Linked DNA regions of Macaca mulatta. The protein of the gene in region 2 interacts with the protein of the main gene of each other region in a biochemical or structural test. Links are inferred from orthologs where the notes say so. Each region holds a gene or a part of one and is shown on either strand. Other genes may lie near its edges. The genes, in order: RAB5A, CHML and RAB1A.

What was found.
Region 1: the proteins of CHML (region 2) and RAB5A form a complex in vitro, tested with the Homo sapiens proteins (2 studies listed by BioGRID). The link is inferred for Macaca mulatta from reciprocal best matches to the Homo sapiens genes CHML and RAB5A.
Region 3: the proteins of CHML (region 2) and RAB1A form a complex in vitro, tested with the Homo sapiens proteins (2 studies listed by BioGRID). The link is inferred for Macaca mulatta from reciprocal best matches to the Homo sapiens genes CHML and RAB1A.

What each region holds. Positions count from the first base shown.
Region 1 is NC_133407.1:28,577,230-28,580,578, reverse strand, and holds the end of RAB5A (ras-related protein Rab-5A), read left to right. Parts: intron 1-1,276; exon of another isoform or gene 1,277-1,278; coding exon 1,279-1,394; 3' UTR 1,395-2,728; downstream 2,729-3,349. Other genes in the region: PP2D1 (protein phosphatase 2C-like domain-containing protein 1), read right to left, coding at 2,958-3,349. UniProt on the Homo sapiens protein: The small GTPases Rab are key regulators of intracellular membrane trafficking, from the formation of transport vesicles to their fusion with membranes.
Region 2 is NC_133406.1:7,462,290-7,466,120, forward strand, and holds CHML (rab proteins geranylgeranyltransferase component A 2), read left to right. Parts: upstream 1-1,014; coding exon 1,015-2,988; 3' UTR 2,989-3,543; downstream 3,544-3,831. UniProt on the Homo sapiens protein: Substrate-binding subunit (component A) of the Rab geranylgeranyltransferase (GGTase) complex. Binds unprenylated Rab proteins and presents the substrate peptide to the catalytic component B.
Region 3 is NC_133418.1:59,583,540-59,587,139, forward strand, and holds the start of RAB1A (ras-related protein Rab-1A), read left to right. Parts: upstream 1-974; 5' UTR 975-1,155; coding exon 1,156-1,178; intron 1,179-3,600. UniProt on the Homo sapiens protein: The small GTPases Rab are key regulators of intracellular membrane trafficking, from the formation of transport vesicles to their fusion with membranes.

The DNA.
Region 1 (3,349 bases), on a different chromosome or scaffold from region 2:
AAAGCATAGATTGTAATTGTTCATTCTCAAAAATCCAACTCTTACCTATTTCCCCTTTATTTCAAGGCAGCTGATGGTTACTCTGCAAGGTGTAAGTTTCTCTTTTAAAAACTAAGAGGTCGAGCATGGTGGCTCATACTTGCAGTCTCAGCACGTGGAAGTCTGAGGCGGAAGGATTCCTTGAGCCCAAGAGTTCAAGACCAGCCTAGGCAACAAAGTGAGACCCCATCTCACTTTGGAACTCAGGGCTGCAGTGAGCCATGATCACACCACTGCGCTTCATCCTGGGTGACAGAGTGAGACCTGTCTCTTAAAAAAAAAGAGAGTGTGAGAGAGAAAATGTATATAGATGTTTTAAGGCCAAAGGCTGTGGAAGCCAGGAAGGAAATAGTAGATATGATCTATCATAATTCGGGGTGATAATTAGTTGCACAATAGAGGACAAGTTTTGTTGAGGTGATGATTACAATGGTATTTGTTTCTATCCTGACTTGTTCTAAAAAGCGTTTGTGGCAGCCTGGAGAATGCTGATATGAGCTGAGCTTCTTTATAAACTTACTGATAAGCTTACTGGCTGGCCATCATGTTTATTAACTTAGATTTTTTTTTAAATAGAAGTAATAATGAGGCCAGGCACCATGGCTCATGCCTATAATCCCGGCACTTTGGGAGGCCAAAGCAGGTGGATCACCTGAGGTCAGCAGTTCAAGATCAGCCTGGGCAACATGATGAAACCCCGTCTCTACTAAAAAACAAAAATTAGTTGGTCGTGGTGGGGCATGCCTATAATCCCAGCTACTCAGGAGGCCAGGGCACAATAATCGCTTGAACCCAGGAGGTGGAGGTTGCAGTGAGCTGAGATCACGCCATTGCACTCCAGCCTAGGTGAGCCTGGGTGACAGAGCGAGCCTCCATCTCAAAAAAAAGAAGAAGAAGAAGTAATAATGAGTATAAAATAAAATACAACTTTTCTGGTATTACTGAGTGAATCTGTGTAGAGAATTACATAAAGCACTAGTCAGGCTTAAGTTTTAATTGTGTCTACAGCCAGTCCCCATCTACCCTTCCCCCAACACAGTTACCCCAGAAATCAAACTCCCTAAGACAGCAACCAATGTTTTGGCATTTAATAGATAGTAAACATTTGAAAAGAATGAACATGTGGTTATATAATACTTTGGGGGTAACCTAACTGAAAAGAAAAATTACAAATAGCAGGTGAAACTGATACTAATATGACTATTCAAATATTCCATTTATTTGATCATTTTCTTTCAGCTAAAAAATTGCCAAAGAATGAACCACAAAATCCAGGAGCAAATTCTGCCAGAGGAAGAGGAGTAGACCTCACCGAACCCACACAACCAACCAGGAGTCAGTGTTGTAGTAACTAAACCTCTAGTTTGAACTAGCTGGAATAGTCTTCTGCTTCCTAAATGTTAATAACAATGGAATTGGAGCATTTAACCAGCCCAGTATGACTTCCAAAAGAAGAGACTTATGATAGAGTCAAGTTTCTAATACAGAATTATTTTAAGTGTTTTGAACTTAATTTTTAATAACATGCATGGGTCCTTCTCACTAATGTTTCAACAATAGGGAAAAAATGAGAACTATGTGGACACTTGTTTCATTGGAAGGTTAGGAGGAATGATTTCTCATCACTAGGAATATAGACAGATGACTGTCTGGACCCACACAGTTAACCAGCCCATTTCTCCACACTGGTACAGTAGTCACCTGTGAAAAAAAATTTGGATCTTACTAATTTGGGCTTTTCAAAAACGTCCTTTTTTTAGAAGGAGATTCTAAAGTTATTTATGATGCTTAGCCATAGTATTCAGGCAAATGTTCATTTCTCCTGGTATCTGTATTTAAAATGTACATTCCACATTTTAATAAATTAGCCACAAGAAAATAATCCCACATATACAAGGTCGGGGGGTGGGGAAGAGTATTAATGGTATCTTAATTATAGCCAGTCCCGTTTTTTTTTTAAATGGGGTAAAAATCAAATGCAATCCCATCTTGTTTTAAGAATTTGAGAACTAATAAATGCACCTTAATGGATAGTGTTCCTTTCAAACATGTGAGTTCTTTAACAAAAATGAAATAAACCAGGTGTCTGATTTCCGATTAATCACTGCTGGCCATTACATAGGTTTTGTTGTTTGGGGCAGGGAGGGGGCTTTTGTTCCCTTTTGACATAATATAGTCAATGCACTAACAATTATGTATATTCAAACTTGATTATTTTAAATTCGATCTTCAGCTGTACTGTAAATAGGGTACTGCATTGTAGTCTCCATATCTGTATTACTTTTCTGTAATATTTAAGAGTTGCTTAAAAGTATACAAAATGTACAGTTACTAAAATAGCTAATTATTTCTCTCTCCCCCTTGGACAAGAAGGGGCTTCAGTTGTTCCTCCATGGCTAGAACTATAATAAACAATGTACCCGTAATTTGTAACATAAAGTATTGCAATATGTTAGTAACAATCTTGCAGCCTTCTTTTCCAAAGTTCATTTTATTTTGATCAGTTCAGTATATTGCACTAATTATTTTAGGTATTTTCATTATATGAAAGCTACCATGTGTCAGAGATGATTTAGTCTATTTAAGTGTTGGACTGCTAGGAGAACTTGTACATTTACAATAATGCAGAATTAGGAAAACGGTTCACCAGTGTTTAGTTTTATATTGAGGTGCTCAGGTTGGAATAAAGTGGTATAAAAAGCAAGTATTGGTTTTTCTTTCTTTTTTTTTTTTTTGGCATAAAACAGTGAACATATATAAATGATATTATATGACCTAATATCTGCTTTTATATTTTCTTTACTGTGTTCATAAAATTGTTTGCATGTTATTGATGAATCGTCCTAATATCTGGATCATTCAAGAATTGCTTTATGGTATTATATTTTGGTGCTCTGGATAATTGGAACTTTTATTTTTTATGTCAGAAGCTGATACTCACTTCCATTGAGAAATATTACCATAACTGTAATGTTGTCTCTGGAGCCAGCCAGTAAAGCAGCATTTACAAGTTCATGGCTAACGTACTCAGCTGCACCTTCATAGAAACTCTTAGTGCCTGATTCTTTTTCATTTGTTGCCACACCATTGACACTAGTTGGGCTGTCAGTTACTTTTTCACTGCAAGGTTTATGATGAGTCGTTTCTGCTGGAAATGTTTCTACATTCTCAGGGTTATAAATGCAGTATTTAGAATAGTTTGAATCGGACAAATTTTCTTTGGAATTTGTAGTTGACACACATCCTTCAGATACAGATTTATACTGAAACAATACGTGGATGTTACTTTGTGATTTAGTAAGGTTTGGTT
Region 2 (3,831 bases):
CCTTTTTTACTTACATACTTTTTTTCCTTTTTTACTTACACTTATATACATGTGTACATTCATATACATATTTTTAATATATAGGTTTTCCTCCTCAGGCCTATTCTGTTATGAGCCTAAATATTTTTAAATGGCCAGTTGTTTTACTGAATTAATCCTTTTATTATAATCTTACTAGTAATTGAGTAGAAATAGTCTCATGTTGCTATCATGAGATCCTAAGGTGGTTGTGGCATGAAAAGGTCTTATATTCAGCTATTCGGGAATCACACACAGACTGTAATGGCCACAGAAATATTTTTAATCATGGCAGTATGTACCTAATGTATAATCTGTTTCTATAAACAATGGAGCCATACGTTCCTTTTAGTCTAAGCTCACAGCTGTGTATAGATTTATTCACATGATAGTTTTCTTAAAAGCTAAAGTTAGAGAATTGTATTATGTTATTTCTTCTTTATTTTTGTGGAACATTATGTTCATTCTCTATTACTATGTTGCCTGATTCTTGGGAGGGCTGTTATATCTCTATTGTCCATTTTCAAGAAATTAGAAAATATGTGAGAAAGCATTTAAGACATGCTTTAGTGGAGGTTTATGTCCAAATAAGAAGTCATACTCCAATGGATTGTCATTGTTGCATGAAATTATTTTTCTCTTATATTGTTTACAATGTATTCTTTCTTGAATTTTCTTCTTTCAGAGAAGAGTTCCAGTCACAAATGCATATATGATGCATTTTGACATTTACTGCTAAGATGAAATACAGAAATGAAACCACACATCCATTTTAGTATTCTCAGATGTGATTAGATGTACTTGCTCATGTTTTTATGCTACTGACTTATAAGGAAAAAAATATATTTTAAAAGGGTAACTGTTAAAACAGCTAGGACCTGCAACTTCATTGCTTCTGGGATAAACTGGAACATCAGAAGGACAGATTTTATTACAGCATAATCCCACCTCATTTCTTTCATCAGCAACTGTCACCAGACACTTTTACTTCCTAGAATGGCGGACAGTCTTCCCACAGAGTTTGATGTGGTTATAATAGGGACAGGTTTGCCCGAATCCATCCTTGCAGCTGCATGTTCAAGAATTGGTCAGAGGGTTCTGCATATTGATTCAAGAAGTTACTATGGAGGCAACTGGGCTAGTTTCAGCTTTTCAGGATTGCTAACCTGGTTGAAGGAGCATCAGCAAAACAATGACATTGGGGAAGAAAGTACTGTTGAATGGCAGGACCTGATCCATGAAACAGAAGAAGCCATCTCTCTTCGCAAGAAGGATGAAACTATCCAACACACAGAAGCTTTTTGTTATGCCAGTCAGGATATGGAGGACAATGTTGAAGAGGTTGGTGCTCTGCAGAAAAATCCTTCTTCAGGGGTGTCTAGTACCTTCACTGAAGTTCTGGATTCCGCAGGCTTGCCTGAAGACAGCCAGTCATCAAATTTTAATAGCGATGAAATGTCTGCCAAACACACTCAGAAAAGTGATAGAGAGATTTCACTGGAAGTAACTGATGTAGAGGAATCAGTGGAGAAGGAAAAGTATTGTGGAGATAAAACTTGTATGCACACAGTTTCAGATAAAGATGGAAATAAAGATGAAAGCAAATCTACAGTAGAAGATAATGCCAATCAACCAATTAGAAATAGGATTACTTACCTTCAAATAGTTAAAGAAGGGAGGAGGTTTAATATTGATTTGGTATCAAAACTGCTATATTCTCAAGGATTGCTAATTGATCTTTTAATCAAATCAGATGTTAGTCGTTACGTAGAATTCAAAAATGTCACTAGGATTCTTGCATTTCGGGAAGGAAAGGTAGAACAAGTGCCTTGTTCCAGAGCAGATGTCTTTAATAGCAAGGAACTCACCATGGTTGAAAAGAGGATGCTAATGAAATTTCTCACATTTTGTTTAGAGTATGAACAACATCCTGATGAATACCAAGCTTTCAGGCAGTGTTCATTTTCAGAATACTTAAAAACTAAAAAACTAACTCCCAACCTTCAACATTTTGTACTGCACTCAATTGCAATGACATCAGAATCATCTTGCACTACAATAGATGGCCTTAACGCAATTAAAAACTTCCTTCAGTGTCTCGGACGGTTTGGCAACACTCCCTTTTTATTTCCCTTGTATGGCCAAGGAGAAATTCCCCAATGTTTCTGTAGGATGTGTGCAGTTTTTGGTGGAATCTATTGTCTTCGTCATAAAGTACAATGCTTTGTAGTCGACAAAGAATCTGGACGATGTAAAGCAATTATAGATCACTTTGGTCAAAGAATAAATGCTAAATATTTTATTGTGGAAGACAGTTACCTTTCTGAGGAAACATGCTCAAATGTGCAGTATAAGCAGATCTCTAGGGCAGTACTCATTACAGATCAGTCTATACTAAAGACAGATTCAGATCAGCAGACTTCCATTCTGATAGTTCCTCCAGCAGAGCCAGGAGCTTGTGCTGTACGGGTCACTGAATTATGTTCTTCAACCATGACATGCATGAAGGACACCTATCTGGTACATTTGACATGTTCATCTTCTAAAACAGCAAGAGAAGACTTAGAATCAGTGGTGAAGAAATTATTCACTCCATATACTGAAACAGAAATAAACAAGGAAGAACTTACAAAGCCAAGACTCTTGTGGGCTCTTTATTTTAATATGAGAGATTCCTCGGGAATCAGCAGAAGCTCATATAATGGCTTGCCTTCCAATGTTTATGTCTGCTCTGGGCCTGACTGTGGCCTGGGAAATGAGCATGCCGTCAAGCAAGCTGAAACACTTTTCCAGGAGATCTTTCCAACTGAAGAATTCTGCCCTCCACCTCCAAATCCAGAAGACATTATCTTTGATGGCGATGATAAGCAGCCAGAGTCTTCTGGAACCAATAATGTAATAGTGGCCACACTAGAGTCCTCTGAGGAAGGCAAAAACCAAGAAAGCCCAGAGAAGCACCTTCAAAATTAGAAAAGAGCAATCTGGAAATGCTGTTTTGGACCTCCTTCATGGCATCAGAATATTCTCATTTAAAGGACAGTTTCCCATATGAGTAATTAGAAGTGGTTATATATGTTGAATGCTATGCAGATGTTGTCTTTAACTCTCAGACATTCAGCATTGAATATCTTTGTTAACCTATCAATGAGTGATTTATTGATTATTGAACATTTTGTTTAGAATGGGCTACATGACCCATAATCTTAAAACAGAGTTAGCTGTATTTTAGTATTGGGTATGTATGTAAGGGTTCCATATTAACAACTCAGCTTAAAGGTAATGTTGTATTTGCTAATGATCTTCAGATTTTATCTTTGTCTACAGAACAATTAGTAATACCCAAGTAATAATTACTTTCACAGCTATTATAGTTGCTGCGGCCTGTTCGAATAGTGAAACACACACAAATGGTAAATTATGTGGATCTTTTGCATATAATATAAATGTATAGACATGGTGGTAGGAATAGCAACTAATACAAATGCCAATATGATAATAAAATACGTTTGTCTATAATCGTTAAAAGATTAGCTTTGCATGATGCTTTATTCATTGTGAAGGTCTGAAGTTTATAATACCCACTTCACTCTTGTAACTGATGAGGCAATGACGCCACCACAGTGTTCTGATTTACAAAAAGAATTGGAGTTCAATTAGTAGTTGAAAAACTCATTTTGGGGAGGTTGATTGCAAAGAAAATTTGAAGGATAAGATTTATTCTCATTTAATACTTCAGAAAATTTCTGCAGAGCCCTGCTTTGGCACTTAAAGAGCTTCCAACAAGTAACTTAGACCAAAAGGAAAAATGAAGTG
Region 3 (3,600 bases), on a different chromosome or scaffold from region 2:
GCTCTGGGCTGTGCCTCTCCCATCCATGGGATGTGGAGCCATTGAAGGTTGTGGGGTCACGATGGAGTTGCTGTCTCAGAAAGATACATTCGACTGTGTGTGCAAATGGGCTGGGGCGGAGGAGAGAGAGAGAGGTAGAGTCCATCTGGAGACTACTGCAATAGCCAGGCTGACGAGAGCGGGGCACAGTAAGAATGGGAAGAAATCCAATAAGAAAATGGTAGTGCGCGGGGCCAACAATGGACGATGACCGAATAGAGGTGGGTCTGGGTGAGTGACGAGAAGTAAAGAACTGCTCCGTGCTGTCCAGGGAGCCCCTTGACTTCCCTTCTGTCCTTAGAGCGGACGTCCTCCGACCAGCCTCCAACCAGCGCCACCAGGGTGGCGCAAGCCTCAAGCTGGTCAGGTCAGCAAAAGTCGCATGGGAGGCAGGAGCCGACACGCGTGTCCCCCGACCCCCTCTCCGCTCCCGCACGCCGGCAGTCCCTCAGTTTGACCACTCCCTCCGGTCCTTTGCCTCCCGCGACCCCCAGCCTCCGTCGGCCGCCTGCACCACCCTCCGCCCCTCTCCGCCCCCTCCTCCGTGGGGCGCTGACTCGCCCGGCTGCCACGTCTCACTGATGACATCACCAGGGCCGCTCGGTCTTAGCCAATCCGCCAGGGGGAGTCCGAGCGAAGTCCTAGCCAGCGAGTCAGAGGGGAGGGGAACAGGGAGGGGCGGAGGGTGGGGAGGTGAGGGAGTGGGGAATGGGGCGGACGACAACCCTTCAAGTACGCATGCCCCAGAGGCGCGGCGCTTGGCGGGAAGCTGAGTCCTGGCCTCAGCGCCTCACTGTCTATCCTCAGCTCGCGTAGCTGCACTCGCGACTCCCTTTCCCGGCATGCCAGGCGGTGCGGCCGCCCTCTGGGCTGTGTAAAGGCCCCTCGGTCTAAGGCTTCCCTATTTCCTGGTTCGCCGGCGGCCATTTTGGGTGGAAGCGATAGCTGAGTGGCGGCGGCTGCTGATTGTGTTCTAGGGGACAGAGTAGGGGAAGACGTTTGCTCTCCCGGAACAGCCTATCTCATTCCTTTCTTTCGATTACCCGTGGCGCGGAGAGTCAAGGCAGCGGCTGCGGCAGCAAGGGCGGCGGTGGCGGCGGCGGCAGCTGCAGTGACATGTCCAGCATGAATCCCGAATAGTGAGTTCAGGAGAGCACCGGTCGGCTGGGTCCGTGGGCCAGCTTGGGGGATTTTAAAGGGGGCGAGGAGGGTTGGGGCGGAAGTCGGGGCATCGGCTGGGGTGAGGCGAGGGTGATGGGTCAGGAGAGGCTGGCGGCCGGGAGTCGGGCCCCATTGTCTGACGCGGAGGGGCGGCCGGGCGGGGGAGGGGTCGGGTCGGAGGGGTGAGCCGCCCGGGCCTGGACCGGGTCCGGTTGGAGGGCCTGACTGCGGGGCGGGTGCTTAGGAAGTCTGCCCAGGGGCCTGAGGCGGTGTGAAGAGGTAGCTTGTCTCGGAGGCAGTGACTTTTGAAGGAGGACTTGTTTCTAAGAGGAGGGGATGGGGTGGGAGAACCCTTCTAGAGGGCACTGGCAGACCCTGCGCCCGCACTCTGCGGAGCTGTCAGGATCCTCGGGGTGGAAACCAGCTTTACTTGTAAATCCTGAGCTTGTTGGCTCTCTCTTCTTCCATCCTCCCCGCCAGGTTTCAGGTAATATGGATGCTTTTCGGGACTGCGTGGGATTGAGGGGAATGAGTAGATAGGGAGAAGCAACTGAACATTTTTTAGTTCTCTTTTTGAGTTGTGCCTTGAACGAGTTCTTTAAGAGCTCGCCGGGTCCATTGCCCTCCTAAAAACCTGGGCATTTGTGAGTTTTTTTTTTTTTTTTTTTTTTTTTTTTTTTTTTTTTAAAGAGGACACCTAAGTCATTTTGTCTTCTGTAGGTCAAGGGAAAAAAAACCCAAAAAAACAACTAAAGCCAAGGAGTGTGTTTCTGATACTCGCAGATTAAAGGAAGCTTGCTGTCAAGTTGAAAGAGAAACGAATGGGACCTATGATAGATCTGTATGTAGTTTTAGATTACCTGCTTGGATGCTTGCAGATAGGGAATGAGGTTCCATGACGTGTCATGAAAAGTTAATGCATTTCTTTTTCTTGCTTACTCAAGAAGTCACCACAGCAGATGTGACACACCTGGCACCTTTCCTGGGAACTGGTGTTCACTTCCTTTGGGTAGAGTTTGTTGGACTCTCCTCAGTGGCCATTTAAAAATTTCCTCTACAGTTTACATGTATGTAAAGTAATAAATAATTGTAAGAGACCGAATTGGTATTCCTTTTCAGTGTCAAAGGCCTTTGAGGGATGGGGGAAAATCAGTATTTGTTGTAAAAGTTGAGTTTATTTGCTGCTTTGGTCAATTACTGCTAAACATTTCCCCCTAAAAGGTCCACTCACCAGTTTAGCTGACTGTCATATGTGTGTCACATGGCTCTTGCAAAATGCTTTCTTCAAGTTTTGTAATACTGTGGCTTGATGCTGAAATCTCTTGCACTATACAGAAACCATAGTATTTTATTAGAATTTCATGCTTTAGAAGTTAAGGATAGTGTTGTTGTAGTGACATTTGCTGTGTTGACAGTTTAAAACAAATTTTTTTTTTCAAGGGCTCCAAGGACAAAGTTGGTTTTGCACAGTTGAATGGAGTTGAACTTGAGGTTCTTCATTTAGTAGTTTTCTTGGTAACAATAAAGAACATGGATTTACTGCTTTATCGAGGTTTATAGACCTCTACTGTTCAGGAAATTTTCTGAATTTGCTATATATATGTATGTTTATTACTATAAATAAATCTTCAAGATTAGTTGAGAACTTTGACAAGTTACTTAGCCTCTGAATTTTTTTCCCTTTTTGTAAAATAGGATAATTGGAGTCATTATTCCTGTCAGGGTAGTGGTGAAATTCAAATGTATATAAAAGAATTTGGAAAACTGTATGAGCATTCTTCAGGTTGTATGCATCATTTTCATGAAAGGCATTCTATTAGTACTAGGATTTAGAAATATAATCCTTGCATTTAAGAAGTTTAGATATAGGCCGGGCGCCGTGGCTTAGGTCAGTAATCCCAGCACTTTGGGAGGCCAAGGCGGGCGGATCCCGAGGTCAGGAGATCGAGACCATCCTGGCTAACACGGTGAAACCCCGCCTCTACTAAAAATACAAAAAAATTAGCCGGGCGTGGTGGTGGGCGCCTGTAGCTCCAGCTACTCAGTCTGAGGCAGGAGAATGGCGTGAACCCAGAAGGCGGAGCTTGCAGTGGGCCAAGATCGGGCCACTGCACTCCAGCCTGGGCGACAGAGCAAGACTCCGTCTCAAAGAAAAAAAAAAGAAAAAAAAAATAATTTTTTTTTTTTGAGAGGGAGTTTCAATCTTGTTGCCCAGGCTGGAGTGCAATGGCGCAAATCTTGTCTCATCGGCACCTCCGCCTCCTGGGTTCAAGTGATTCTCCTGCCTCAGCTTCCTGAGTAGCTGGGATTACAGGCATGTGCCACCACGCCCGGCAAATTTTGTATTTTTAGTAGAGACGGGGTTTCTCCATGTTGGTCAGGCTGGTCTCAAACTCCCGA